4 linked regions of the Diceros bicornis minor genome follow. The protein of the gene in region 1 binds, or shares a complex with, the protein of each later gene. Links are inferred from orthologs where the notes say so. Each region holds a gene or a part of one and is shown in the gene's direction. Other genes may lie near its edges.

What was found.
Region 2: TFDP2 (region 1) and E2F6 share a complex: the UniProt entries of both Homo sapiens proteins name them as parts of the DRTF1/E2F transcription factor complex. The link is inferred for Diceros bicornis minor from reciprocal best matches to the Homo sapiens genes TFDP2 and E2F6.
Region 3: TFDP2 (region 1) and MYBL1 share a complex: the UniProt entries of both Homo sapiens proteins name them as parts of the DREAM complex. The link is inferred for Diceros bicornis minor from reciprocal best matches to the Homo sapiens genes TFDP2 and MYBL1.
Region 4: TFDP2 (region 1) and LIN52 share a complex: the UniProt entries of both Homo sapiens proteins name them as parts of the DREAM complex. The link is inferred for Diceros bicornis minor from reciprocal best matches to the Homo sapiens genes TFDP2 and LIN52.

The regions. Positions count from the first base shown.
Region 1 is NC_080741.1:11,623,647-11,631,271, forward strand, and holds the start of TFDP2 (transcription factor Dp-2), read left to right. Parts: upstream 1-4,605; 5' UTR 4,606-4,907; intron 4,908-7,625. UniProt on the Homo sapiens protein: Can stimulate E2F-dependent transcription.
Region 2 is NC_080751.1:68,834,107-68,841,445, forward strand, and holds the start of E2F6 (transcription factor E2F6), read left to right. Parts: upstream 1-4,338; 5' UTR 4,339-4,581; coding exon 4,582-4,689; intron 4,690-7,339. UniProt on the Homo sapiens protein: Inhibitor of E2F-dependent transcription. Binds DNA cooperatively with DP proteins through the E2 recognition site, 5'-TTTC[CG]CGC-3'. Has a preference for the 5'-TTTCCCGC-3' E2F recognition site.
Region 3 is NC_080772.1:19,069,444-19,076,459, reverse strand, and holds the start of MYBL1 (myb-related protein A), read left to right. Parts: upstream 1-4,010; 5' UTR 4,011-4,137; coding exon 4,138-4,157; intron 4,158-7,016. UniProt on the Homo sapiens protein: Transcription factor that specifically recognizes the sequence 5'-YAAC[GT]G-3'.
Region 4 is NC_080763.1:22,177,167-22,185,053, forward strand, and holds the start of LIN52 (protein lin-52 homolog), read left to right. Parts: upstream 1-4,882; 5' UTR 4,883-4,923; coding exon 4,924-4,954; intron 4,955-5,039; exon of another isoform or gene 5,040-5,058; intron 5,059-7,887. Other genes in the region: ALDH6A1 (methylmalonate-semialdehyde dehydrogenase [acylating], mitochondrial), read right to left, coding at 4,300-4,347.

The DNA.
Region 1 (7,625 bases):
AGATGGCCCATGTCACTCCCGCAAAGAGAAAGCCAGGCCTGGAATGCAGGTCTCTCCACCCATGGGCAGTTTTTCCTGTGCTCGACTCTTCTGGACCTATCTCTCTTTCCTTGTGCTGCTGCCTCAGGCGCCCTCAGCCTCAACGCCCACCTCTCTCACCAGGCCCACCAGCCCAGCCTCACCAAGTGGAAACAGTAGTTCTTCTCATATTTCATGTACTTGAGGCATTGCTCACAGAGCTGGAGCTGGGACTGTTTCCCATAGTCTTCAGGGAACAGCGAGAAGTAGGAGGCATTGATTTCGTATTTCCGATGTGGATCTTGTCCACATACGTCACCTTGATGACCTGTGGGCAAGGTGGGAGTGGAGGGCAGTGGATGGCTCAGCTGGGGCAAGGAAGGCAGGGGGCAGGGAGTGCCCGCAGTCAGGACCCCCAGCCCTGCTTACCGCCTCATGCTCTTTCTCCAAGGCTGCTGTGGTGGGGTCCATTTCTCCATAGGTCTGGGCAAGGAAAGAGCAGTGGACAGAGGTGAACAGAAGTGGTTGGCGGTTCCTCCCTCGTCCCAGAACCCAGTGCTTCCCTCCTGTCTTCCAGACCTCATCCCCTGAATGACAGTTAGAACCAGAAGAATAGCTAACTTGTTTTACTTGGTTTTGAAGCTGCCTGGTCTAAGCTCCTCTCCTGTCTGCCCACCCACCCATATATCCCAGATAGCCCTGATGCCTGATTTGGTCTTCTTGCCAGATGAACAGGGCTAGGATCAGGAGGCCTGGATCCAGTCCAGTCCTGGGATTGATAACAGCTTCAGCTGTACAATGGGATTATCCAGCCCTGCCAAAGCTGTGAGACAGATGAAATAATGGATCTTGTCTTCCAAGCCCATAGCAGGAACTGGTGCCGACTCCCCTGTGTGCTTGGACCTCTTTCCTGAGCACCGGCTGCTTGCCCATGGGACAGCTCCCAGAGGTCCCTCCCACAGGCACATCAGACTCTAGGTGTCTAGAAAGAAACTCAACCTTTCCTCCCTGCAGACCTGTTTGTCCTCCTGGTTTTATTCCTTATACCTCACATAAGGTGTTTATTCCTTTTACCTCACATTTACTTTCTATTTTTAGGATGAATAAAATATTTTATCATAAAAAGGACTTTAGGTTTGTTTGGTTTTTTTTTTTTGGTGAGGAAGATCGGCCCTGAGCTAACTTCCCTTGCCAAGCTTCCTCTTTTTGCTGAGGAAGGTTAGCCCTGAGCTGACATCTGTGCCCATCTTCTATTTTGTATATGGGATGCCGCCACAGCATGACTTGATGAGCAGTGCGTAGATCTGCACCCAGGATCTGAACCTACGAACTCTGGGCTGCCGGAGCAGAGTGTGCAAACTTAATCACTGAGTCACCAGGCCGGCTCCTGGGTGTGATATTAAGAAGAGGTTACTTTTATTAAGGATGGCTGTGAAATCCTTCTACTGCCCTAATCAAGTCATTTCAGAAATGAACGGAGGAGAAGGTTGTGTCCCTTGCTGAGGAAATTCCAATGCTTTGATTCTACTTGGCCCTACCTATTAATGTGATTAAACTCCACATGATAGGACTGTCTCTGGAAGACAAGGCTTTGATTTAACACATTTTTCTCTTAAGTGTTTTTTCTTTTATCAGTCACTGGATGGATTAGCTGTGAAAACAGGATGCTTTAAAAAAAAAAAAAGTCATATCGGCAATTGTCCAGACAATTACAGATCTTTTTGTATGATAAAAAGGTTTCACTAAGGACCTTGTTACTCAAAGTGTGGTGTTTGGTGAAGTAGCACCAGCACCAGTTGGGAGCTTCTTGGAAACGCAGACTCTACACCCCACCTCAGACCTACCCATTCCAAGTCTGAATTTTAACAAGATCTCCCAGGGATTCCTGTGCACGTTACAGTTTGAGAGGCGCTGGTCCAGGAGTCCTATAGGTCCACCTACAGAAAGAACATCCAGCTCCAGGAGAGGGGCAGCACATGGAAATTCCTCAGGTTGAACTGTGACAGATCTCTCTCTTTCAGATCCCTTTCTTTGTTGACCCGCATATTTATACGTAGAGACTTCACTTATTTATGCTTCTCTCCTCTTTCCAGCTGTGCTGGGCTGTGGCACTCCCCTCCATTCAATAAAAACTTACTGAGCTTCTCTTAAGCACTGAGGATGTGGTAGTGAGTAGGATGACTGGCCCGAATCTCAAGCAGCTTATAGTCTAACGGGATACAGATACCAAGTGAGTAATCACAAGTTTGATGAACGTTAGAAAAACAAAATTTTATGGGAAAAGAGCTGGAGATGAGGAGTCAGAGGAAGCTTCTCTGGAGAAAGTTTAAGCTTGGATGAGAAGGCACATGTAGGTAAGGTGTGGGTGAACAGGGGGATTGCTCCAAGCGCAAGGGATACCCATGAACGGCGCTCTTTGGATGTTTATGTTTGTATTTCCAATGCCTTGTGCTGATCTTGGCATACAATAAGTGCTTAATAACAGTTCGCGGAATCAGTAACTGTTCCGTCATGTTTCAGACGTCTACTCTCTGGCATTGGAGATAGTGGAAGCTTTATTTTCCTTTTCAAAGGAAATAAGATCCCTTAATGGGGAAATGAGAAGGAAGAGAGAAAGCTGACTGTTGTGCAAATTGCTAAATTGGAACTGTGAGTGGGAATGAAAAATTGATTTACATGAATTTTTCTCCCTGAAGCAACTTGACAATTTATTCTGTTCTGGAGAATTTTCAGTTTTTGGCTTCAAAACCAAGCTGTTTCTTATTCTGAATTTCTTGGCCTCCTGTGAAACTAGCATTTAGTGTCTTTTACAGCATACCCTGATTAGGTCATGGAAATTCACAGCTAGATCAAACCAGTACATGGAAAATTTGAAACTTTCACTGCCCATTTTACTTAGTGGTGTTGGAAGGTGTTAGGAAAGACTGACTTTTAATTCATTTTTTTCAAAAGCAATATTATCGAATGATCATACAATTGCCATCATTTATTGAACACTTACTATATGCATTACATAGCAAAATCCTCATATTAACTCAAGAGAGTATGTTGAGCCATATGAAAATTGCCAAATATTAGCAATTTCATATGGCTCAACTTAATATTATCTTCAGACTCTCACCTTAGAAACTTATAAATAGGTTAGAGAATCCCTAATAACCATGGCCTTACTCCAAAATTTAGTACTGAGTTTTCTTCATAGATAGAGAGATCTCGAGAGAGTTACAACTGCTTAGTAACATCCACCCCTCTTACCTCCATTAGCCAAGCGCTCTGTGTCTACTTTTATTATGGTTGTTTATACATTGTCCTGAGGTGGTTTACAATCCATCTCCCCTGCTAGACCGAGTTCCTTGAGGGTGGAGGTTTTGTCTGTTTTGCTCAGTTTTGTATCTTTGTGCTTAGAGTGTCTGAAAAGTATTCGTTAAACTGAAACTTTAACAAAATTTCTTTGGAAACTAAATAAATCTTATTGCTTTTTACTGGAAAATGTAATCACTTTTGCATTTTTGAATCAGTCTGAGGAGTATTCGGCATTCTTGAACTCCTAGGACTTTATCTATGTACAATTATGCAGAAACTGTCTCTCCACCCCTCCCCAGAGAAAGGTCCAAAGGTACTCTCTCACCTCCTTTAGGTATTTACTTAAATGGCACCTTTTCTGCCGCCTTCCCTGAGCGCCCTATTTGAGACAAGCAGTCCCTCAAACATCCTCTCCGCTTCCCATAGTACGTATCAGCATGTAACATAGTTTATATTTTGCTTATTTCTTTTTCATATTGTCTTTCCCATCCAACTAGAATGTAAGCTCACACATGATTTTTCACACAGGCACATAATTAATAGACAAAATGTTTTAATATTTAACTAAATGGACAGGTATTTGGGGGTGTGGGCTGCGATTTTCTTTTAAGTTTCCACGTGACATGGTGACCCGGCCGGTTTGGATCTTATTTGCGTAGGTGTTGAAGAACCCACGTCTAGTGGTCTGTAACCCATTATCTGAATAATTACAGGGTGTCCCACACTTGGCCCCACACGTGGCCTCACAGTCTCTCGTCCCCATCCTCCTCCTCCCTGCTCTCCCGGGCGACCCATCTAAAGGCCTGGGGACCGAGGTGTAACCGCTCTTGTTCCCCTCTTTCCGAGAGAGACGGGGTTTTTCTGCTTCGGGCTTGGGCGATGCGGATGGATGGAAAAGTCAAGATTCCCACCCAAGCCCGGGGGAGGGAGGGGAAGGGCGTGTCTATAAATTTTAGGCCTCAGGCCTGTAGCCCGCCCCGAGGCGGCTGGGGAGAGGGCTGGCGCGGTCCCTTCGGGAGACCCATGAAGCTTCTCGGGTGGGTAACCCGGGGCTGGGCAGAGCGCGCGAGACCCCGCCCCTTCACCTCTCAGCCCCCTCCTCTCTGTGGGGAGCCTAGGGGCGGGGTTTGTTTACTCCTTGCACGCACCGCTGGCCCCACCAATCCGTGGGGAGCGGCGCCTTACGTCACTCATCCCGAAGGCCAATCGGCGCTCACCGTGCTGCTCCGCCGCCAAAGCTCGCGCGGGGGAAGCGGGGCAGTGGCTGGGCTGGGTGAGGGCGGACGGAGGCGCCAGCGCTCTGGGCTGGAGTCGCCGCCGCCGCAGCTCGGCACGCGGGGCGCGCCCTGACCCTTCGTCTCTGGGCAGGCCCGAGGGCGCGCGCCCGGTCGGCGTCCGGGGGCCTCGAACTCCAGGGCCTCGACTGGGCAGACCGCGGATCTCCCACCCCCGGCCCGAGTGTGAGTCCCCCGGGACCGGGCCGCCGCCAAGCGCGGGCGCCACAGGAGCGGCGGGGCCCGAGGACGCGCCCCAGGCTCGGAAGAACAGCCCTGCGCGGCCGCCTCGTCATCTGCAGCCGAGCGGCGGTAAGGGCCGGGCGGGGGCGCGGGCCCGGGGCCAGGGCCTCTGGACCCGGCCCGGCGTGTTCCTGGGCAGGTTACCCTCCCTGCGCCTCGGGGCCCCCATGTCACCCCGACTCGCATCTGTTTGTTCGCACGCGTTCTCCCAGGCCTGACCGAGTAACCCATGCGTGTCTGGAGGGGGAGTCGGAAACAAGAGAGCCCCACACACCACACCACACACACACACACACACACACAGCACACTGGGGGCAGGCGACGTCCCTGAGTCATGCCTCGTGTTAGAGAGGAAGAGCTGCTTTCTACTTTCTCGGTGTCTTCAGGGCAGAAGGATGGCTTCTAAGTCTGGTCTTCTGGCTTTTCTCCCTTTCATGACCCACACGCCTACATCTGTCTCTACTAGGTGTTTTTCAGGGTTCCACAGCTTGGTGCGCTTGTAAGAACCTCATAATCCCCATAGGGGGACTTCTCTCTAAAGTAGAGGATCTGTTTGTGGGCCCAGACTCCTTTGAGAAGTTCCAGAGAGCTAAGATCCCTCTCTACAAAAAAAAGTAGAAAGGTTTTTGCAGGATCTCACAGAGAGACAGTTCAACAAAGTGAATGAGCGCTCAGCTCTGGTACTAGCTTGTGTTCCCTTGTATTGTGTGGTCTCAGTTTCTTTATCTGTAAAATAGTATGTACCGATTCGGGGTGTTGCGAGGAGTAAATGGACTAATCTGTGGAACGCATTTGGAACAAAGCTCACCACGTATTAAGTGCCCTGCATGAGTTAGGCGTTTTTATTATTGACTACCGTGAATGCTGGTTTAGAAAAGTTCCCTGTATTGTTTCTCTTTTTCTTTTGAAACAGTTAACAGGCTCGTCCCTTCCATATTCACTGCTGAAGCTCCCTTTGAATACTTTTCTCTTCCTCATTCTATCTCAGAGGGCTCAGACTCCCTGTCCCACTTATTTGCTCTCTTTTTAGTAAGTCAGTAGCTCATTCTCTTCCTTTTCCTGTCTCCCTCAAATCTTAGTTTTGTGTTTTTTTATTTGACTTCTATAGCCTGACTTTTTCTGGGCCACTTTTATTTTCTCTTAATGGCCTGAAATCATCTTCACCTAATAAATATAGGTGAAGTTATTCATCTGTCTTCTATACAGTGTAATCATGACCCTGTTTCTGTTCAGAATTAAATATAAAATAATTTAGGTGGTCTGATATTGCCTGTTGCTTTTCCATTTCATTGGTAGCCTATAATTTAGCTAAAGCTTTATCACTGCCCTATTACTGTAATAAATCTTTAATAGCAGTGTCCCTTCTCAGGTAGCACCAGGAGAAAAATCAAATGCCCAGACCCCGGAGTCTATCACCCTTGTGTACTGGCTCTCCATGCATTTGTTATTTATTAGAACATCTTGTGCCTGGAACTAGAGTCTAGTCCCATGGCAGACATGGTGTCTGTGGCACTGTTCTGGCAGTACAGCTGCAGTTTCAGCAATGTGGTGCTTATATTTGTTAATAAAGGCTCAAGACTTATTCAACTCTTACTTTTGAGTTCTCTTTATTTCTAGTTGTCTAATTAAGAGAGAAAATGGAGTTTTTCAAGTATATAATACTTCATATTACCATTTTGTAGTCTTTTAACCCCCTCCCATCTCTTTTAAGTATGTAGTCCAACTGGCACCTTCAAGTTTTTCCCTTGCAGCCAAAATTCTTAACTGTCTCAGCTGTGTCCTCTCAATACAACTTGAAATTGGATGTACAGATATGTTCATCCTTAATGTGGAAAGTATTTGTGGATGAAAATTATACACTAAAATGCATACTAAAGGATTCAAATATTGCTTTTTATAATTAGGAATTGAAATGTGAATATACATTTGCTTTTTTTTTTAACATGATAGACTGGCTTTGTTTTCTTGCTGTTGATAACTTATGTTTTATACATAATGCATGAGTTATGTATATTTACAAAGCACCATTTTTAAAGTCCTTTTAGATGTATGAAAGTTTTTAGAACAAAGTAAGGAAACACGCTAAGCCAAAATTAAATTCATGGCAAAGATATTAGAATCTAAGTATTATGACTTCTAGTCCATGGTTTCTTGGTCTATCTTAACAGGAACAAAGGATGGAAAGGGAGAGTTTAAGATGAAGTTTTAAAAGCAGAGGGAGAAATTTCTAATTTGGGCATTAAATATTAGGTATTGGGTAGTACATTAGCATCTTATTTTTTATTTTTAAACTTAGGTGTGTTTCTTTTAAAGGTTAAGTAATAAGCCATACTATCTATGAACTTACTAGTAATCAGTTTACATTGTCACTTGGCAAACTTGACTTTACTTTCCTTCTGACCTTGTTGTATTTTAAACTCTTATAGCAATAGGTATCATAATGCATCTCAGAACAAACTAGAAAGCATACACTTGAGAGTTTTTTTTGGGTCATAGAATTTTAGGTTGTAATGAATTTTAAAGGTTATTAAATATACTCACCTCTTCTTCACACTTGAATCCTTTCCATTTTAATCTGGGATACATGACTCTAGGGATGAAGCATGAAGAGATTTAAAAGTAGATTTGTGAAACCTTGGAAATTTTATGCAAAATTATATACACTTGTATATTTTTCTGGAGAGAAGATTCAGTTTCGTAGTTTCTGAGGCGAAGATATTTGGACAACTCTAATTTTTATAAAATTATTCCTTTTACTGAACTAGAAGTTGTATCATCACTGGTTCT
Region 2 (7,339 bases), on another chromosome or scaffold:
GCCCAAGACCTCTTCCTGCTCTTAAGGTTCTATGACCCAGACTACTACATACAGAAAACTAACAGGAACAGTCCTCGCAGCCACCATTTCTCCTCTGCCATCTTTTACCACACCTCTCCCTCCTCCAACTCTCACAGGAGGATGTGTACGTTGGAGACACTGTGAGATAGATAGCCACAGACCACAGAGGTAATCTCCAGCGTGACCCCGCAATCCTATTATATTTTCCAAGTCAGTCTTCTCTATTGTGCCCCACCCATCCATCCATCCACCCATCCATCCATCAATTCCTCTTTCCGTAAATACTCACGGAGTGCCTGCTGTGTCGCCTACATCTCCAGTTCCACCACCTCCTCTTCCTTTCAGCGGATGACCTTGGCTTTGCAGAGCATGAACTCCCTCAACTTCCTGCCGAAATCACTTTACAAGCTGTCCTGCCTCTGTCCCTATACTGTCCTCCTGCCACTGCGTAAGTGGCATCCTCCTCTGGTCTCCAAGTGCGTCCTCCATTTGTGCTCCGTGTCTCATCCTGTCAGCATTCTCAGGTCATCCCCTTTCTCTATTGCGTCTTCAGCCTTTCCCTTTCTATGAGCGCCTCCTCATCAACATTGAAAAACGCAAGTCTCTTCCATCTTCAAAAAACAAAAAGGAAGGAAGGAAATAAGAAAGAAAGAGAGAGAGAAGAAAGAAGAAGGGAGGAAGGAAGGAAGGAGGAAGGAAGGAAGAAAGGAAGGAAGGAGGAAGGAAGGAAGGATGAAAAAGAAGGAAGGAAGGAAGGATGAAGGAAGGAGGAAGGAAGGGAGGGAGGGAGGGAGGAAGGAAGGAAGGAAGGAAGGAAGGAAGCAAGGAAAGAGGGGCTGGCCCGGTCGTGTAGTGGTTAAGTGCACACACTCGGCTTCCGTGGCCCAGGGTTCGGATCCCCGGCGTGCAGCGATGCACTGCTTGTTAGGCCATGCTGTGGCGGCGTACCGTATAAAGTAGAGGAAGATGGGCACGGATGTTAGCCCAGGGCCAGTCTTCCTCAGCAAAAAAGAGGAGGATTGGCAACAGATGTTAGCTCAGGGCCGATCTTCCTCACACACACAAAAAAAAAAAGCAAAGAGAAAACCTTCCTTCTTTTAATCTCTGAGGCACTCAGAGTCCAGATTCACCTTCTGTCTCCCTGGCTACTCCCTCTTAATTCCCTTTGTTGTCATTGTTTAGTTTAAAAACAGAAACACATCATGCCTGTTGTAAACAGTTAAGACAGCCTCTGCCGGCCCCTTCAGCGGGCTGTTCTCCGGTTCCGCCCCCTGGCCTTGCCCCACTTCGCTGTACTCACGCTCAATGAACAATCTTGTCTGTTCCTGGACTTCAAGCACCCAAATTGCCATCTTCAGTGCCAGCCTTCCCTCAAACCTAACCAACCCCCGAGCTCTGTTGCTTCTGCTGCTGTCTTGCATCTCCCGAGTCTGTCCTTTTCTCTCCATTTTCACTACACCGGCACAGTCGGGCCATAATCAGCTGCCCTTTCAGCGACCATCACAGCCTCCTCACCACTCTCCTGGCCTCCGATTTGACTGCTCCTCCCGTCGTTTAAGGTCTAAGAAGGGCCACACGGGAGGGCGAGGCATATGTAGAAAGTCGGAACACCTAGGAAATATTAGGTTACCTCGGTGCCATTGGATTGTTCTAAATCCCCAGTCCTGAAATACTGCATTAGAAAAGTTAACTTGGCTTCAATTTAGCTGGAGTATCAGGCCCTTGGGGGTGGGGTGGGGATCAGTTTCCTTATCTATAAAAGAAGAGCTTGGATTAGACCAGTGCCTTGCGGAGTATACCCAAATCTTCGGAGTTTCTGATTCTGTGGGTCTGGGGTAGGGCCAGAAAATTTGCATTCCTAACAAGCTCCCAGGTGATAGCAATGCTGAGGGCCACAGACCACCCTTGGAATAGCCCTGGACCAGATTATATCCATAATTTTAGTTTCTTCACCTGCACTATTCAATATGGTAGCCACTAGTTACACAGCTATTTAAATTAATATTAAATTAAATTAAAATTCAGTTCCTCAGACTCACTAGCCACATTTCAAGTGCTCAACAGCCACATGGGGTTAGTGGCTACCATACTGGACAGCACAGAATGTTTCCATTATTGCAGGAAGTCCTATTGGACATGATCATTTCCTCACAGACTTCTGGGGAGGAAATTTTACCATAGGAGGAAGGTAAAACATCCTATGACTGGTAAGGCCTCTCTGCATTCCGCAGGCACACGTGTGCACTTGGCCTATATTTCGGCCCTAATTTTCAAGTCCCAAGAGCCATACCTCATTCTGCCCTAGTGCCATTTTGCCCCAGGAAGCACACATAAAAACAGGACTGGAAATGGGAAATACTAGATTTTCTGTGCTGGGAACTGTGTTTGTACCACTGTAGAGCATGGAGGACAAAGCAAAGGATTTGGTGGCTGAAGTCCTGCATTTGAGTCCCCAGGTGGCCTTGAGCCTCTCTGAGCCGCTGTATCCTCATCTGTATTCTAGAAATATCTACCTCACAGGGAGATATGGGAAAAAGCACCTGTGATTTATGCCAAATTCAGTTATTTATTTTCTTCCTCCTCTGTGCTCCCATAGCATGTTATACACATTCTAAATTAGTACTTATGCGCCTGGTTACGTGTCTCCACCGGGCTAGGGGATGCTGGAGCACAAGGTAAGGTCCCCATCGGATTTAGTTTTCCCCTCATCACCGACTCTACTGCCAGGCACATGCTCCAAAAATGTGCAAATGATTACGTCTCAGGGTAAAGCCAAGTCACAGGTATTATAACAGTCTGGAAGGCTGTGTCATCGCCCTGACTCTCCACAGCTGGCTCATGCTCTGTCTTGAGCCTAGAGTGCCTCTCACCCTGACCCGCAGCCCACCCTCACTCACTCCACCCCATCTCTGGCTGAGGAAACTCTTAGTCACCCTTCAAGAATCTTCTCAAGGATCAGCATACCAAATTAATCAGCTGTGGAGCCAAATCCTGCCTCTCCCACTGCCCCCTCAGGACCTCGGGTAATTTTTGTAATCTTGCTAATCTTCATTTTCCTGATCTGTAAATTAGGCAGAAAAACACCTTTCAGTTTTGATACAAGAGATACATGAGAAAATGTATGCAGAACATTTAGCAGAATGCCAAACTTATAGCAAATGCTGGACTATGTCTTATTTATTAAAAACAGCCATTTCTGGTCTCCAGAGCTTCAGGGACTCCGGTTGGTAAAGATGTCTTTTAACCGCTTTGGGAAATTCTCCATTGTGCAACAAAATTCAGTCTTCTGGAGACTTCCCCTAGATTATCCTTTATTTCAAGTCATTCATTTACAAACATTTACTGAGCTCTCACCCCCAGGCACTGTGCTAGATGCCGGAGATACAAAGATTAGAGAAAGGCTCTGACCTCAAGAAGTTTATATGTAGTCTAACAGGGGGTCAACTTCCTCCGGAAACCTTCCCTGGCCCACGTCAAGCTGGGGAGAAGCCCCTGGTCTAACCACCCGGCTCAGTTGCTGCCCTCCACCCTGTACTTACCACATTCTGTTTTTTTATTCCAAGCATGAGCTGGTCCCTGTTCTAAGTAATCTATATTCATTAATTCATTTAATCCTCACAACAACCTTATGAGGTAAGGATTGTCATTATTCCTATCTAACAGATGAGGAAACTGAGGCACAGAGTGATTAAGTAACTTACTTAAGGTCTTGTAACTTATAAGTAGAGGGAGCCAGGATTTGAAAACACACCTTCTGGCTCCAGCTTAAAATGTTCGATTCATCCGTCTCTTCCACTGGAATGTGTGATGGAGTCTGTGCCAAATTCAAATGAGTATCTCCTGTGCCCACCACAATATCTGACATGGCAGGTAATCAATATTTCATTTATCAAACGAAAAAGAAAGGAAGGAAGAAAAAAAAAGAAGCATAGGAGAAAACAATTCCACAACGGTTTGGGTACGGACATTTACTAAGCATCAACACTGGGCGAGCGCCCGAGATGTGCGGAGGGAGTTCAAGAATAAATGAACATCCGCGCGCACTCAGAACTTTCAGTAATTAGTGTCATCAGTGCAGCGAATCCCGAGGGGACAAGGGCGTTTTCCCGGCTGCCTCTTTTCTCTCGCGCCGTTCCCTTCCGCAGGAATGCCTGCTCCACCTCTTCCTTCTCCGTCGCCATCCTCTCCGTAGATTCCGCCGTCCGGGGTTTCCTGGGCTCCGGCCGCCGGGAGAGCACCAATGCGTGGGAGCGTCCCGGCAGCAGCAGGCATGCGCATTGGGGGCGGCGCACTGCGCATGCGGGAAGATGGCGGGCCTGGCGTCCTGAGGGCCCTGGGTCACCCTGCTCCTCTCCCGCCTGTGTTGCAGCTCCCGGGGTCGTGGGGCAGTGGCGGGTTCGTCCGCGGGCCGGCCTGGCCAGGCGGCGCCTCTGAGCAGGCCACGGGCCCCGTTCGCGCTTGGCCCCCGGGAACCGGCGTGTTGGGGGCGGCGCCCGACCCGAGCGGGAGAAGGCGGGAGAGCGCGCAGGGTGCGAGGGCCGGGGCGGCCGGCTGGGCAGCATGAGTCAGCAGCGGCCGGCGCGGAAGCTGCCCAGCCTGCTCGTGGACCCGGCGGAGGAGACGGTGCGCCGCCGCTGCCGAGACCCCATCAACGTGGAGGGCCTGCTGGTAAGCCCCGGGGACGGCCCGAGGCCGGAGCGCCCGGGCCCTGGCGCGGCGCGGGGTGCGTCTGAGCCCGGCCGCCGCCTCTTTTCCGCGGGGCAGCCGCGCTGACGTCGTCCGCGTCGTGCGCTCCCCCTGCGCCGGGCCCCTGGCTGCTCCTCGGGCTCCCGGCTCCCGCGCTGCCCAGCCTGTGCTGTGAGCCCGACTGGCCGTTCGCTTGACTCTCGCCTCCTACTTTCTACACCTGTTCGCAAATGTGCTGTCAGCCTCCTTGGCTTTTCCCTCGGGGCTGCAGAGCCCTGCTGGAGAAAATTGCCCAGCTTTGCGTTAGAAGAGCGTGTGTTCCTACTTCCCCTGGCCCCTCCGTGTGTCTCTGCAAGCTATCTTGTCTTCTTCCCTGCGACCTCCTCTCCTATTCTCCTACTTGATTGCAGCCATTTAAAACCTTGTCCACGCCTCGCGTTTCCCGCCCCACAGCTCCCGGTTCAGCAGATTGTCTTCAGTCCTGTCTGACAGAGAATATGGAAGAGAGAGTGGGCTCCCTTCTGCAAAAGGTTAATTTCTCCAATTCTTTTTTTTTGTTTGGAGGAAGATTGGCCCTGAGCTAACATCTGTTGCCAATCTTCCTTCTTTTTTTCTTTTTTTATCTTTTTTCTCCCCAAAGCCCCAGTAGATAGTTGCACATCATAGTTGTCCTTCTAGTTGCTCTGTATGGGATGCCACCTCAGCACGGTTTGATGCGGGGTGAGTAGGTCCGCGCTCAGGATCCGAACCAGCGCACCCGGGGCCGCCAAAGCTGAGCGGCGAACCTAACCGCGACGGCACCGGGCCGGCCCGGTAATTTCCCCTATTCTTGCTCTAGACAGATGGCAGTAAATTCTCCTTGGCTCGTAGGGCTCTTGATGAAGCCGTCATTTTCCATTTCTCCCCATATTTTCAACTTCTTTGCTGGTTTTTCCCCCATAGCTAGTAACTAAACTTTTACCGAAGTCAGTATGGCCAGTCTTCATGGGAACTCAGTGCTCAAAAATAGTTTGAGCCTTATCTAATTTAACTCCTCAGCTGCAGTCCTAAGAGATGATGATTCTTGTTTGACAGTTGCCAGAATAGACTTGGAGATCTTAAGTGGCTTGCCTGTGGTTAGATAGTATGCAGAAAAGCCTGGATTTAGTTAGTGTGGCTCCAAATGATAAATTCTTGACTACTTAAACTGCATCCTAAATCCATCCCCGTCTTAAAAGTTCTCTCCCTTAGTTCCTGATGCCCTTCAGTCTACTGTATCTCTTCCTACTGTATCTCTATCTCCACCCCTTCACAGCCAACCTTTGAAAAAATTGTTTGCACTCACTGTGTCCACTTGCTCACCTCTCCTTATGACCATGACCCACTGCCAGGGGACCTCTGCCCTCAGCACAGCTGTAAGAGTGTTCTAACCAAGGTTACCAGAAGCTTGTCCATTCTAGCAGATGTTTCACTCCTTATCTCTGTAGTTTTGACATGATTGACCGCTCACTCTTTTTGGAAACCCTTGCCCTTGAATGGCTTCTTTGACACCACATACTCTTGATGCGCCGTCTACTGGTCTGGCCTCTCCTGTGCTCTTTTGCAAACTCTTTCCATTCCTTACCTATTGATGTCATCCTGGGGTCTCTTCTAACCTTCTCTACCCATTCTTCATGTGGGATGCCGTTCACCACTCTCATGACTTCTGTTACCCTCTACATATATTGGTGCCATCTGTATTGGTGGTGTTAATCTTTGAGAATTTGATAAAAGCTCTGAATTCTCACTATGGAAAAAACACTTAATTTTGTATTTAATATCAGAAGATACACACATCCCTTGAAGTCTTAGATATTCTTATCCACTGTGGTATGTTCAGTTACCATGTCATGATAATTCCCAAATCTGTAAATCCAGCTCAGAGCTTTCCAGCTGTCTGCCAGACATCTCTACTTAGATTTCAAACTCGTATATCCAAAATTGAGTTCGTTTTCGTTTTGCCTAAGCAAGCAACAACTTTGCTGTCACCTTTCTTAATAAATGGTACCACACCCACCATATTGCCCAAGCTAGTATCCTAAGCATGATCCTTGCCTTTTCCTTTTTTCAAACTGACCCCCTCCCGCTTCCCAATCGGATTAAAATTAATCACCAATACTTGCCACTTGTAAACATCATCTGTCTTTTGCATTGTTGCAATGTCTTCCTAACCAGTTTTGCTGCTTCTGGCCTTGCCCCCAACTTTTCTGTATATTCTCCACGTAGTAACTAACCATAATGGTCTTTTTAAAGCATATTTCTGATCATGTCATTTGGCTTAAAGAATCTATCATGGTTCCCAGTGCTCTCAGGATAGAGTAGAAACTTCTTAATATAATCCAGGCCCTGGGTTTATCTTTCCTGAACTGCTTATGGTTGCTGAATTTTCCGTATTTCCCTATTCTTTTGTACCCCTACATATCCACACTCCCCCTATCAAAAGAGCCTTTTTTTTTTTTTTTTAACACACTTTTTCCTGTTACCTCCCATGGTTCTTTAGGTCTAGATTTATGGGTCAGTGGTCTGGAGACTTCTGGCCTGTCAAGACTGGGTTAGGCACTCCTTTTGTGCTCCCAAAGCGCCCTGTGCTTACTTACTCGCTCTTTGCAATGTG
Region 3 (7,016 bases), on another chromosome or scaffold:
CGAAGGGGAGCACACGGAACTTTAACCACTTTGCCACGGGGCCGGGACCGGGGCAAGTTTTATATACCATACTTGTGCTATTTGCTTCTAGGATTTTCAGCAATTTTTGGAGTTTAGCATCAACTCATTTTTTTTAATTAAAAAAATAAACATGAATTTATGCTTTAAAAAAAGCCAAATAATACAAAAGTACATCGGGTAAAAAGTTAAAGCCTGCCCTGCTTCCATCTCATTCTTTTCTTCAAAGTAAAACACTGTTAAACAGTCTGGTGTGTATTCTGTAGACCATTTTCTAGAACATTAGACACATACCCACAAATACACCCTGAGTTTTTGTTTACATAAATGACATACTAATCATTCAGTTCTGCTACTAGCTCTTTGCACTACACCATACTATCTCTACATTACATCTACACTATACTTGTAGTTGAATGCCCATAGATATTAAGGTGGTAGAGTGATGGGAAGCTTGGCTCCTAATTCTAATCTTGGTTTTGCTACTGTATGCCCTTGGTCACGTTAACCTTTTGGTGCCCAATTTTCCTCATTTATAAAGTGCATGAAAATAATAGTATCTACCTCATAGAGTTGTTACAATTATAGAAGTTGCAAACTTTACCTAAGATGAATGCATGTGAAGCACCTAGAAGGGCTTAGTAGTAACAGCCATTTAATGGCATTGCCTTAATATTATACTATTTTTACTGGCTGTGTAATTGTTCTTTCCTGCTGATGAACCATTTAAATTAGTCTCAAAATGTGAATGCCTCCAAAGTGGGGTTCTAATGGAGTATACTACTGTAAGCATTTAAGTACATCTTTTTTGCTTGTATTGAATTATATTCTTAAGATAAAATGTCTGTCAAAGGCTATGCATATCTTTATATATTTATGGCTTTTGCTAAGTATTGCTTTCCAAAAGCCTTATACTAGTTTCAATACTAATATCAAGGAATTATTCAAACCTTATAGGCAGGATTTAGAAAAATTTTGCTACCTTAGTAGTCGTAAGATGGTATTTCAAATCTATTTTAATTTGTACTTTTTGTGTCCTTGTGTGCATATTTATTCACGTACTTGTTTATTATTTGCCTTTTTTCATTCATTCTACAGTTATTGTATTTACTGAGTCCTTATTCTAGGGACTGGGGATGAGGCAATAAATAGAACAGACAAAAACCTACTATGGGAATGGCTAATACAGCTCTATTAAAAGTACAGTCTCTTAGATACTATATTAAACCAGCATAAGCTTTTCAAACTAACATAAGCAAACCTTGGGAGTCTTTGGCCTTTGCAGGAGGATAAGAAGTAGGTGTAGCCATGTGAAACATGCTCCATTGTACACCTTCCTGCTCATTTAATACTAATGAAGCAATTTATTTAAAGATTTGGAGTAAGAAAGTACATTAGTACATAATTTTTACAATTAAAAACATGAATATATTTGTCATGGAGTAGAAAGAAAACTTTACATGAGTTTTTAAAGATAAAATACTTTTCAAAGGAATTTAAAACACTCGTCCTCAACCCCTATCTCCCCTTGGTATTCAGTCCCCTATACTTCAGAGGAAAAACTTCAGAAGCATTAACATATTCAAAACCAACTCACCGTTGAGGAGTAAATGTGTGACAATGAGAAGAATGTCCCTTTAAGTGTTTTCAATTTGGTGATTACAAATAAAGCCACTAGAAACATTTGTTTTCCAAAGTGGCTGTTCCATTTGCATTCTTACCAGCAATGTGTGCAAGTTGTATTTGCTTAACATTTTCATCTACACCAACACTTGCCTACTCAGTCTTTTTTTTTTTCCTCATTCTACTGTGTAGTCGAGTCTCACTGTGGTTTTAATTTGCATTTCTCTAAGGATTAATGATGTGAAGCATCTTTTCATGTGGCTTATCTGTCATTTGTATATCTTTTTTTGGTGCAGCGTCTGCTCTAATCTTTTGCCCATTTTTTTTACTGCGTCTTTTTTTCTCATTATTGAGTTGAGAGTTCTTTATACATGCTAAATAAAAATTCTTTATTAAATATGTTTTGCTAAAAAAAACTCCCAACTCTCAGGTTATGATATATTTGAGCCTGTGTACTCAGATGACCGTGAACCACTTTAACTCCACACTTTGTGTTTTTATAACTGATTTAAATCAATTTACAATGTTATCTTGCTCAGGAATTATGTTTTTCTCTATCTCTAAAATGAGGGGGATTTAAAACCAAGGGGATTTAGTTTACTGTCAATATCTAAAATACCTGCATTCAAGCTCAAAAAAAAGGTATTACGTATAAAACTGACTATAGCCTAAAATATAGCAGAAACTCTGCTTCCTGTTAGGATATAAATAAGCAGAGTAATGTATGACCCAGGAGTAAATAAGAAAACAGTATCTTTAAATGACATTACTTTCTAAATTAGGTTTAAAAAAAAAAAAAGTGAACCAGCAACACACTAAGAAATGATTGAAAAGGTGTTTTAACTTCCCAGAACCCATACCTTGAGAAGGAACTATAAAAAGGCAGGTGTTTTAAGTTTTGAAAGTATTGCATGCAAGCCCCCCTTAATTCACATTTGCACCTGCATCATTTGCAAAAATTGATGCGTAAAATTTCAAAATAGCAAAATGTAAGATTGTTACAATATTAACATGTGGTTTAATCCCCTCTGCAGCAGACCATGTTACCTTGCAAATTGGCATCCTTTACCATTTCTAATCGTTACTATAGATAATCTACTTCAATGCTACTTGAATCGAGCAGTTAGTTTTTAGACTTGAAACCTCTAGCGTAGTTGCAACTGCTAGAAGTTCCTCCGGTGCTGTTCCCCGCTCCTCCCGTCTCTCCTGCGAAAGGAGGTCACCTTCTACTGTTGACTACCGTACTCATTTATCTGGGCGAAATTCCCAGCCCGTTCCTGTCTTCCTGCATTGTTCTCCTGGATCTGGGCTCCTTCACCGCGCACATTAGTTATTTCCCGTAGAGCGGAGAACGTAAGCACTTTGAAGACCAGTCGCAGACTTGGATTATTTCCCTTTTCCGTTCCAAGCACGTCTCCAACTAAAAACTTTTTTCACCTGTCACACTCCTGCTCATTCTTGATATTCAGTTTCCTGTCACAGAGTTTTCGCTACTCCAGTAGCTATGATGTCTGGGCAAAAATAGCTCACATTTTTGCTTAAACAGTAACGGCCGCGCAAATTTTATGGTTAGATTAGTCTCTAGTCCGAAGACCGCGTCTCCTAATTAGTGAGGCGGGATACACCCGAGGAACGAGGAGCTTTGGCGGAGAGAAGGCTGCGGGCACGTGTCCCAGCTGCGCGCCCAACCCTCAGGAACACTGTCGCCGCACCCCGGGAAGTTTAGGCTCCCGCAGCCGCTTCCGGACCCGCCTCTCGGGTAGCACTGGAACTCGCTTTCCCAGCAGGCTCCGCGCGGCCCCGGCGCCCCCGCCCCCTCGCGGTGCGGCGCTCGGCGCGCTCCGGGTTCTGTCGCAGGCAGACCCGCGAGCCCCGCCTGCGGCCCCACCCCCTGGCTCCCAGCTCCTTCCCAGACTCCCGCGAGTTCCAGTCCCGGCTTCCAGCTCCCCAGCTCCGCCCCCAGTCGCGCGCGCTCTCCCCGCCCCGCCCTCGTCCCTCCGCGTGCGGCCGCCACAGCCAATGAGGTTCGGGGCCGCGTGCGCAGATTCAAACGGCGGCTCTTGAGGGAGGCTGGGCGCGAGATTCGGCGGTGCGGACAAAACCCTGCAGGAGGCTGCGAGCCCTGCAGAGCTGCTTGCTGCGGGGAGAGGGCGGGGGTCGGCGCCCGCGGCGGAGCCGCGCTGGGACGGCAGCGAGGAGGCTGAGAGGCGTCGGGAGGGGCCGGCGGAGGGCGGGAGCGCGCCTGCTGACATGTTGGGGGCATTCCTGACCGGGCCGGGCCGGGGCTAGGAGCGGCGCTGCGGGCCGGGGGCGGGTCGCGGTCTGCCCCTCCGTCCCTCCGTCCTGCCCTGCCGGGGACGTGCGTTCCGTACTCGGTCGCCTCGGAGAGGGAGCGAGGCAAGCGGCGGGAGGGTCGGGGAGAAGGAGCATTCGCCTGAGGCTGGAGGAGGCTGAGCTGCGTCCCCGCCCAGCCCGCGCCTATGCGGTACTTGAAGGATGGCGAAGAGGTCGCGCAGGTGGGTGACATCCCTTTCGCCCAGGCTTGTCGGCACAGTCTCGGCTCAGATTCTCTTTCCTTTCCCGCTGCCTCCCCACCACGCCCTCCCCACCCGGGGCAGAGGTTTTCCTTCCCGCTGCTCCACAGCCGCTTGGGCCCGGCTGGCCGGAGCGCAGCCGTGACGTGTGGAGAGTTGGGGACCAGTGTGGTTAAGACGCAGAAAGTGAGTAAGAGATGCCCGGGTTGCTCCTTTGAGTTCCTTCTCCCCGCAGCGCGCGTCCAGACTCCTAATCGTTCACAGCAACTTTTTGGGGGGAGTTTCTTGCCAGGTGAGTCTGCGCTTTCAGGGAACGCGCTACGCAGATGCAAGTGGTAGTGTCCAGCCTGGACGACCTGACAGTGGTGTTCAGAGGGACTCTTTTTTTCGGAATTACTGTACCAGTTAAAGTAGGAACTCTGATAAACTTGGGCGGAGACCCCTCTGCCATCTTTGCTACCTTGAAAGGTATCTTCTGAGGAGTAGCTGAGGAGAGAGGACATTTTCCATGTTTTCTGTAATTACCATACCCATGTTCGCAGCTTTATGTACATATTTTTAATATCTTCCACTGAGAAGATGTCACACTGTTACTACCAGTAGCTTGATCTTAAAATAAAACAATGTATTTGATTTACTTAATATTTTGACTGTCCGTGTTTGGCTGTGACTGTACTTAAGTGTTGCACAGAAGTAGGGCACTTTTTTTTTATTGGAAAACTTGCTGGGATGAATTTATGCATCTGATTTTGATCTATATGTTACTGTAGTGGCTACTCCTAAATCACGTGTAGTAATCAGTTAGATGGCAAAAAACTAAGGTGTCTTTTAATTGTCAGTATTATTAAATAAACCAGAAAAGATGTTTGGCATGATTTCCAAGTGGTTTTGTTTATCTGAATCCATAGCCTCAAAGGCTTAACTAGATATGTATTTCCTAAATTGAGATTTAGTACTGGGATTCATTCATTGCAGATTTCTGTTAAAAATTGGCAATAATTACACATAATATTTGTTGCTTTATTCATTTATTAAGCACCTATTGTATGTAAAATGTTTTGCAGGAATCTGCATAAAATATAATTAAGTCCCTGTTAGTTTATTATTTTGTAGCAACTACAGTATAGGTCAAACTCTTGAGGTGGAACAAATGTGCGCACACACAGACATAAACCCACCTCTCTAGAACAAGATTTTCAACCTCGGCACTATTGATATTTTGGATCAGATAATTCTTTGTAGTGGAGGGCTGTCCCGTGCTTTGTAGGATGTTTAGCAGCATCCCTGGCCTCTACCCAGTAGATGCCAGTAACACCCTACTTCCCCCAGTCGTGACAATCAGAAGTCTCTCCAGGCATTACCAAGTGTCTGTTAGGCAAAATCACCCAGGTGAGAATCACTGCTCTAGAATGTCAGGAACCCAAATAATCTCTAAATCTTCAGAAAAGGTAGATATTAAAAGGTCCTGTAATTATAATTACTGAGGTACTGGTTTAGGCCTTTTCTTTTGAATTTTTAAATATACAAAATTTAAAAAATAAAATGACTTCATTAAGCAAGGTGACAAGTGATTATTTATGTCACCTCAATAACAGAAGTTTGTTTATATTCCATGTGTGGCATTATCTACTTATCAGTGTTGATGTGAATCTTATTTGAAATAGTTTCTTGGCTAATGCTGTCATCAGCATTTAGTTATGGTTGGACGTGGAGGCTTGAATGTCAGAACCCTGTCTTCTGCAATTGGTTTTCTGTCTATTTCAGAATTTGTGTATGCTTCATAATAATAGACTAAGAGAGAAGAAATGATTTTATGATTAATATGCTTGTATAAGTTATTTTCTTTTACTGACAATACTATGAGCTTTGAGATGTAAACATTAATTTTACTGTTGACTTTTATTGCTTGTCAGCCATATAAATTAATTGAAACATTCAATTAATTGAAACATTAATTGAAATCATATTATAGAATGATTAAAGAGTCCTAAGTCTGGGGTAATTAAATGTGGTGGGGTGAAGTTACACTCTGTATGAAAGTATTCAGATAGAAGTGGTAAGAAATTACCACCTCTGAATGGTATATTACTTAGGGTCTTCATACTTGAATGTTTCATGTTCTAAATTATATTTCTTGTACGTGTAAATATGACTTATTTATCTTAGAAGATAATAGAATGTGAAATATTTTGAAGGGGAAATAATCTGTTCATTGGGCAAATTCTGGTTTCATGGCCTTTGGCTAAATATCTTAATATTAAATATAAACCTAATTTATAATTGAAAAAGAAAGGAAATAATTCAGTCACTTTAAGATCTCTGCTATACAACCATTTAAGTATTTGAGTATAAACTATACTTTGCTGTATAAAAGTTTTGCATAAGATTATAGGCATAAATCCTGTAATATACTTTTTCTGTATGGTCTGAAAAAAAAGTAAAAAACTGTTACCTCAGGTGTGAAACAACTGAAGGATGTTGACTCTTTTGATCTTTTAAGATAGCTGTAGTATCTCTGATCTATATTTACATAAAGGAAAAGGCTCATTTAGTGTCGTGACTTTATATAGTTTTAGATCCCACTGGGGGGTTTTAATGACGTAATTTACAGGCAGTACTAAAATTGTATATCTGTTATGAACATGTATTGATTTTTAAGCATGTTTATGTATTAAGTAATTTTAGTTTTTAAAGCCAGTTCTACCCTCAGAAATAAACTTTAAAAAATGTCATTTAGAAGCTAGAAGGCCTATTTAAGTAGTAGTAGATTCAGGTATTTACAGTTGAGACCTGTGACTACTCTAAACTGAAAAGATAAAAGCTAGCTCTTGAATTGGACGA
Region 4 (7,887 bases), on another chromosome or scaffold:
ATTTCCTACTAGCAAACCTACAAAACTGACCTGCACCTATACCCATCCTTTTTTCCTTCCTCCCTCTTATAATGGAGAAGACAGCTAGCAAGCACGGTGGGGACAAAGTGACTGGGAGACAGAGGTGCACAATCAGTATCTGTGGACTGACTGAAGAGGTGTCTGTGCTCCAATCTAAGGCTAGTCTCTGCACCTGTGCTCTGAAGCCAACCTTTCCTACTGCCTGACACTTCCATCACTTATCCTTTCTTTCCTGTAACTTAAACCTCTCTCCATCCAATAGCAAGAGTTCTCTATACTAACTACCTTTATTTCCTAATCTCCCACTAACTCTTCAATCTATTCCAGCTTTCATGACTGAACATCAGTGACTTTCTACATCCCATGGACTCTTCCCAGTCCTCCTTGTACTTGATCTCTCAGCAGAGGTGATACGGTTAAACATGGCCTCCTTCCTCAACCTCCTTTTCACCTATCTTCTGTGATGCCCTGGTATCTCTTCTATTTCTTAGGCCACTTCTTCTCTGCCCTCTTTGCCGGTTCATTCTCCTCTCCCTGGCCACTAACTGTTCAAGTTCCTCAAGGCTTGGTCCTAGGCCACCTTTTCTTCTCATTCCACGTACTTTCCTTGGGTAATTTCATCAACCCTCGTGGCTTAATTATCTAGATCCTGATGATGCCCAAATCTGTAGTCTTCTGCCAGAATCTTCCTCTTCAGCTAATACCTACATAACTGTCTTCACATCTCTACTTGGATGTTATTTAGCTACATATTCATCCTCCCACCAACCTTCTATGTTTCCTGTAGCCCACCTTTCAGCGAATGGGCCTACTATTCACCTTGTTGCCCAACTAGAAACCTGAATGTCACCCCAACTCCTCCCTCTCTCTCCACATTGAATCAAACAAGTCCTGGCAATCTGTTCTCCTAGAAGTCTTTGGAACACGCCCCTTTTTCTCTACCCCCTCCTGCCATCACCCCAGTCTATATTATCATCGTCTCTCATCTGGACTTCAATATTGGTTTCCTAACAAGTCTCCCAGCCTCCAATCTTAAACCTTCTGAATCCATTTCCACCACATAGCCAGAGGGTCTTTCAAAACACAATCTGGTCCATCACTCTCTTGTTTAAAAACCCTCCAATGGCTTTCCACTGCCTTTGGGATAAAGACTAATCTTGATGTTGCTTAGAAGACTCTACATAGTATCTTTACTTCTCTAGTTTCATAGCTTGCCACTTTCCTCTTTGCTCTCTTTGCTCTAGCCATTTGGAACATGTTTTGTGCTCTCTCTAATCTTGCACATGCTGCTTCCTCTTGCCTGGAACTGTTTCATCCCATTTTGCTTGGCTCCTACTCCTTAGCTCCCTACTTAGCCATGACTTTGGGTATAGGTGCAGGTCAGTTTTGCAGGTTTGCTGGTAGGAAGTTTTCATCTGATAGTTTCTGTTTCCTTTGAAGTAGGAAAAACAGAATTAACTCCTGAGAGTGAGAGGGGAAGTAGCAGAGTTGGAAATTTTTAAGTCTCAATCTCAGGTCTAGGCTAAGTACCTGATTGGGGAGTTTATAAAACACCTGAATTCCTCTAGTCCTCATATCACATTATGGAATAATACTTTTTTAAATCATTAAGTCTGTCTCCTCCTAGATCACCAGATGGTTCTGTCCTCAGCCCCTAGAACCATTCCTGGAATAAAGTAAGCACTCAGTAATATTTTGCAGGATGAAAGAATGAGTACTACCAAGCAATTTTTTGATACAAATTTTGTTTCATGTATACTCTCTTATAGGGCAGAAAATGCATGCATCAGCCAGCTTGAGCATTCTAGGCTACTTAATTTTATTTTTTCATTTGTATACAGCTTCCCTGCTGCAAAGAGGGCATAAAAGGCACTGCATCTGGTATAATAAAACATTATCATATAGTTTTTGACAGGTTAGATCTCTTTTCTTCATTTCCCAAGAAACACTTGTTAGCACTGTTGCTGAAGAAACTCCCCTACGTCCAGTCACACCAAACTTCTTGCTGTCTAGATGTTGCTATTACCTTTACCAGGAACTCCCTTCTCCCCTTGGCTAAAGGCCTGCTAGTCTTGTAAGACTCAAGCCCAGAGCCACCCTCTTTTGGAAGCTTTTCCTGAATTGCACAGGTTGAGTCTGGGGCTCTTTCCCTATGTTCCTGCAGTAGCCTGTGCACTCCTACTGTTTAGCACTTATCATTGCATTACAACATGGGAGCTTTCAGTGAGTATTTTACTTACCTCTCCTTTCCCAAAGCCTGGGACAGTGCCCAACACAGAAAGAGATGACAAGATTTAAGTCTTGAATTCTCAGCTCCATCAGTTACTAGTTGGGAGACCTTAGATGACCTTAAGTGTCAGGTAACTCACTTCATTATATTCATTAATTCTAATCTTCACTAATATTCTTAAGAGTAGAAAGTGGTGGAGCTGGGATAGTATCCAAGTATGACTGTGAAGCCTGTGCTCTTTCTACCACATCACTGAGGAAAGTCACTGAGTTACTTTAAGACTGGTTTTCTTATCTCTAAATGGGAGTGGTAATATTACAAGGAGCAGAAGTTTTACTAGCCACCATAACGGAGAAGATACGCTGAATACTTAAAATAACTGAAGACGTGAACTCTCTCCTTTACAGATCCTTTTGATAGTCCTTTAAAATTCATGACAGACAGATTCTAGACTATTCTTTATCAAAGAGTCATGTTACAGTAACTCCTAGTTGGCTAAGGATTACTATTTCTGTTCTTTTCCAGGTCAACCCAGAAGTTTCTTCAAATGAATCAGAAAATAGGTCTGTTTCCAAAATAAAGTACATGGGAAAGGAGACTTTTTTCCTTGATGCAAAGGACAAAATACTTCTTAAGGCTCTCAGTGATTCATTGTGATGGCGGGGAGGCAAAGGAAAAAAGTCCATTTGTATAAAAGATTTCAAGGAGAAGCTGGGAATGAAAAGTATAGGGTGGAAACTTTGTTTCCCTACTTCTAAAAAAAGATACTAGAAAAACAGAACTAGGATCACAGCAAGAAATATATGACTGAAGCCAGACCATCTGACAAACCCTTCCAACCCACTCTCTACACTGTCTCATTAAATAGCGTATTTAAACATGAACCTTTGCTGATTCTGCTAAGAATCTTAAAAGTGCGAGTTTCTGCAGTGGAACTCACTGAAACCTGGTAAATAATAATATTATCTAAAAGTCCAGCAATACAGAGGAAGAAGTTCCCAGGTTGGATGTAATAAGTAAGAAGGTCAATGTTGTTTCTTGCAGGTTGGAGAATGTTGCCTGCAGTAAATCTTGCCTGACATTCTAAGTCTTTGCTGGGCTGTGAGCAACAGGGGAAAGGCTATGGACAGAATTGGAGATCACAGGCCTCAGGCATGAGCTCCTGTAGCTCTACCACCTCTCCTTAGGCTGGTTTAGGGGGGACCTAAACCCCTCCATGGGCAGAGTTGAGGGTGTATGTGCACATTAAGAGCTGACTTTGGGGCAGGAACTTGGAACTTACACTTCTTGTCTTCCTTGGCTCCCATTTTCTAGCACCTGTTTTAGAGATGTTTAGTCCCTTGCATGTGCTTGGAACAAACTGGTAGCATAATTATGTGTCCTTATTTACCGCCAACATGAACACTGTAACTTTGCTGAGAGAAAGTTTAACTGCAAGTCGGGGCAAGCAAGGGGACAGCCCACAGCCTGTGGAAAATACAAAGCACCATAGCTGGGGAAGAAAGCTCAGCAAATGGCTGCTTTGGGGGAAATCTAGTGTACACTTCTAGAAGGAGATTCAAAGTTCATTCTCTGACCCTCGCCCCTAGTGTGCCTCCTCCTCTCCCCTTTACCTCGGATTATAGACAGTGAAGTAGGGTGGGGGAAGGGAACAATCTGGACGCTCCCGGCAGGTGCAAGAGCTCTAAGAAAGGTGAGCAGAAGGGAAGTTTCTGGGAGAGAGGTGGCTGGTGCAGAGGTGAAAGGGAAAGACGGTGGGCACACCGAGAGAGGTGAGGGCAAAAGAGTGACAGCAGAGACAGCGCAGGGCTGGAGGAGGAGAGTGGGCTAGAGCCAGAAAAGGGGAGGCTCAAAAATAAAAGGGCGGAGGGCCAGGGGTGATAGTCCAGGGCTGGATCCAACGAGGGCAGACACGGAGTGAGAGGTGGGACAGGGCCGCACAGGTCGGATGGGAACAGGAGAGTCGGCCAAGAAGGGGTTGGTTCAGAGAGTGGATGGAAAGGACCCAATTCCTAGCTTTGCGACCCCTCGGCGCCACCCTCACTCACCTGCAGGATCCGGGCCCGCACTGCCGCCGCCGCCACCACCGCCGCCATGGTTCTCGCCCACCTCTTCTCCGCCTCCCTGGGCCTCAACTGGCCGAGACTCCCCAGACTCACTACAGCTGCCAGGCCTCGCCCCTCCATCCTGCTGCACCTCCTCATTGGTGGAGAGGACAATTTGCCCTAGCCAATGACTCGGCCTAACACCTGACTCCACCCCTCAGTCCCAGTCCTAGGGGTATGCGATTGGTCAGAAGTAGAAGGTCTCGACCCCTCCCACCTCCGCAAATTCTGTTGGCGGAGGTAGGGAAGACGTCCCTGACTTGGATGCTCTATATTGAGCACACCGGGAAAACGCCCCCTAACCGGGAATCCCGATTGGCCACAGGCACGACCGCGGCCCCACCCCCTCATTGAGGAAAGTAAATAACACTCTCCAAGAATTTGCCGTGGCTCCACCTCATCCGCCGCGCGAGGGGGTGTGGCTAGTATTAGGAGCGGGGCTAGGCAAAGATTGCCCTATGGGGCGGGGAAATGAGAGGGGGCTGCGAGTTTGGAATAGGGTTTCTCTTTGGGGGCGTGGCTTATGAGTCCTTGCTTTCCCGCCGACGGTTGGCCACGTCACGTGACATGGGTTGGAAGATGGCGTCTCCCACAGAGGGTAAGAGCCGGTTTAGAGATCCTTCGCCTACAGGCTCCTTTGCTCTCCTGGGAACTTCCCCTCTCCATCTGCCCCTCGAACTTACACCTCTTTCTCGGGCTCCTCTCCTTTCCGTTTCCTTGGGATGTGGGTGCGTCTTCAGCTCGCTGGTTTTTCACAGCGGCTCTGGAGGTGCGCAGTTTCCTCGCTGGGTACTAGGCGGGTGGAGGAGGGCACACGCGAGGGATCCATCCCGGGCCCTGCCCTTCCTTTAGCCCCATTTGGGTGAAGCTGAGGGCCGAGGAGGAGATACTGCCGGAGGAAAGGAGGTGCCTTACTGTAGCTTTCTACTTCTGCGGCGCCTCATTGAAAGGTCGGTTCTCGTCTTTTTGAGTATCTGAAATGATTCTCTCAAATCCTAGCTGGGATTGGTGGCTGACCTCATTCCTGGACTGGACTGCAAGAGAAACGTGACTCTCTCCTGTTTCCTCAGATTGGTACCGTTGACATGAGAGCCCCGAGGAAAATGAGAATTGAGCTTTTTAGTGTAGTCTTGCACACGTCGCAACCTTTCTTGCCGCTGCTTTATGTGTTATTTCCTCAGGCTGAGTGAATGAACGATTTCTGCTTATGTTGTCTAAGATACAAGTCATCTCAGATAGCAACTGAGTGGTTTTGGTATATGCATATGCGTTTGCTCTTGGTTCTGCTTTAGAGAGTTAGGGTCTTGCAGTCATTTCTGAACTCACTTAATTTTTGCTTCTGTCTCCCCCATCCCCACGTCCTTTTCATGGATATGTAGTGTTCCCTCCTCAACCCACCACGTTTTGTTAGGAAGGAATCTTGGAAGTTCATTTCAGGACTGAGGAAATATGAGGCCAGAAAAACTGTATTGAGTACCTACTATATGAAAGGCATAATGCTAGGTGTTTGGGGAGAGGAAAAGATTAATCAAACATGTAAACACTTTTGCAGTATCAGGTCTCATTTTAAATGTTGCCTCTCGGGGAGGCTTTCCCAGAATACAATATCCAGAGTTGCCTCCTTCACCATTATTCGCTATCTCAGTACCTTCATTGTCAGCATAGTTATTCTGTTAACTTTGCCGCTTTCACACGAGATTATAAATTCCAAGTCTGTCTTGTTCATAGTTGGATCCCAGGGCTTAGCACAGTGCCTGGCAAGCAGTAGGCCTTCAATTAACATTTATTGAAAGAGTGATTAGATATAGGCATAAATAATATATTACTTTGGCTTTGGTTTCATATTTAACTGAAAGTTTTTTTCAAGTTTTTTGAGTGCAGGTACAGACTATATAAGAAATTATGGGTGTTCGAAGTCAAAAGAGATTCTTTCTCCTGCCTGGATGCTCTCTTGTTAAAACGTTCTCTTGCCAGAAAAAAAGGGGGGGGGGGCGGCATTTAAAATGTCAGCCAAAGGAGTGGGAGTTATTGTTTAATGGGTACAGAGTTTCAGTTTGGGAAGGTGAAAAACTTCTGGAAATGCATGGTGATGTTGGTCACACAACAATGTGAATGTACTTAATGCCACTGAACTGTACACTTAAAAATGGTTAAAATGGTAAATTTATAAGTTTTGGAGATTTTAAAGTTATGTTCCTTGTGTTTGATTTTTCCCTGTCTTCTCTCAATTTCTTTTCCTTTCTTTGGCCGGGAAGAGTTTGGAAATGTTATATATTTTTTTCCTTTGATCTTCTAGCCATCTCCACCATCACTCTCTTTTCACTCTTGATTTTTAAAAGTTTTTATTCTCATCTTTCACAGAGTTTCACCCTTCTCCATCTAATATTTTATTTTTAATCTGACAAAATCAAGTGGAGCACTTTGAACTTAAATTCATCTTCTAAATAAGTATCACATCCTAAAATATTCCATTGCCTAGCTCCATCACTTCTGTTTTTAGGGCTCCACCTGTCTCTGTCTTTAAAATTTAATTCAAATAATGTTGATTTGAAAAAAGTTTAGGTCATTTATGCATTTATCTTTTTAAGGCTAAATTTACTGGGACTTCTTTGAAAAGGAGAGAATTGAAATCAAGTAAAGCTATCTAATTAGTTATTTTATGAGAGTAAGACTCACAGCGGAGTCTGAGTTATGCCCCAGACTGGTATCATAAGGCCACCCTTGTTGGTTGTTGGATCCTACCCCCAATAAGTTTCTTTTTGTTATGGTAGAGCTTCCCGTCAGTACCATTCCTTGGGCATTTGAAAATTGACATTTTGTGTTACACACAGCTTTTCTTTGTTACCATTTTTGGATGCTTTAGTTAAGGCGATGGATTGGAGTTAAGTTCTTTACCAATTAGAATGCCATTGGAAATTCTCTTAGAATATTTGGGAAGAAAATTCAGTTTAGAGAAAAGCACATATTGAAAAATTTTATACATATGTACATTTTCTGGGGAGTAAGTCCATAGCTTTTTTTTCAGATTTCCAAAGATGTGACTTGTCCAGAAAATGTTAAGAACTACTGTTTATATCATTAAATGAACTAATTTATGCAACTAGTTAGCCTATTGAGTATACAATATGTACTCAACAAATGTTAACTGTTGTTAAAATCCAACACCTACTGTGTGCCCAGGCAAGAATGGAGAGGAAATGGTGTCAAAGAATTAGTCAGGGGCTGGATCATGTAGGATTTTACAGGGCACGGTAGATATACATTCACGAATTTAGCTGGTAAGAAGTTCTTTAAGCTGGAGAGTGACAGGAACTGATGGACATTAAAAAAAAAACCAGTTCTGGCTACTTTGTGGAGAATAGATTTGAGGGTAGGGAGGGGAAGGAGTAAGAATGAGAGCAAGGAGACCTATTAAGAGGCTACTGAAGTAGTCTAGGAGAGAAGTGATGGTTTCTTGGATTAATTTGGTGTCAGGGTGTATTTTGGAGATAGAAAGTAGTGGATTTACTAATGGATTGGTTATGGAAGGGT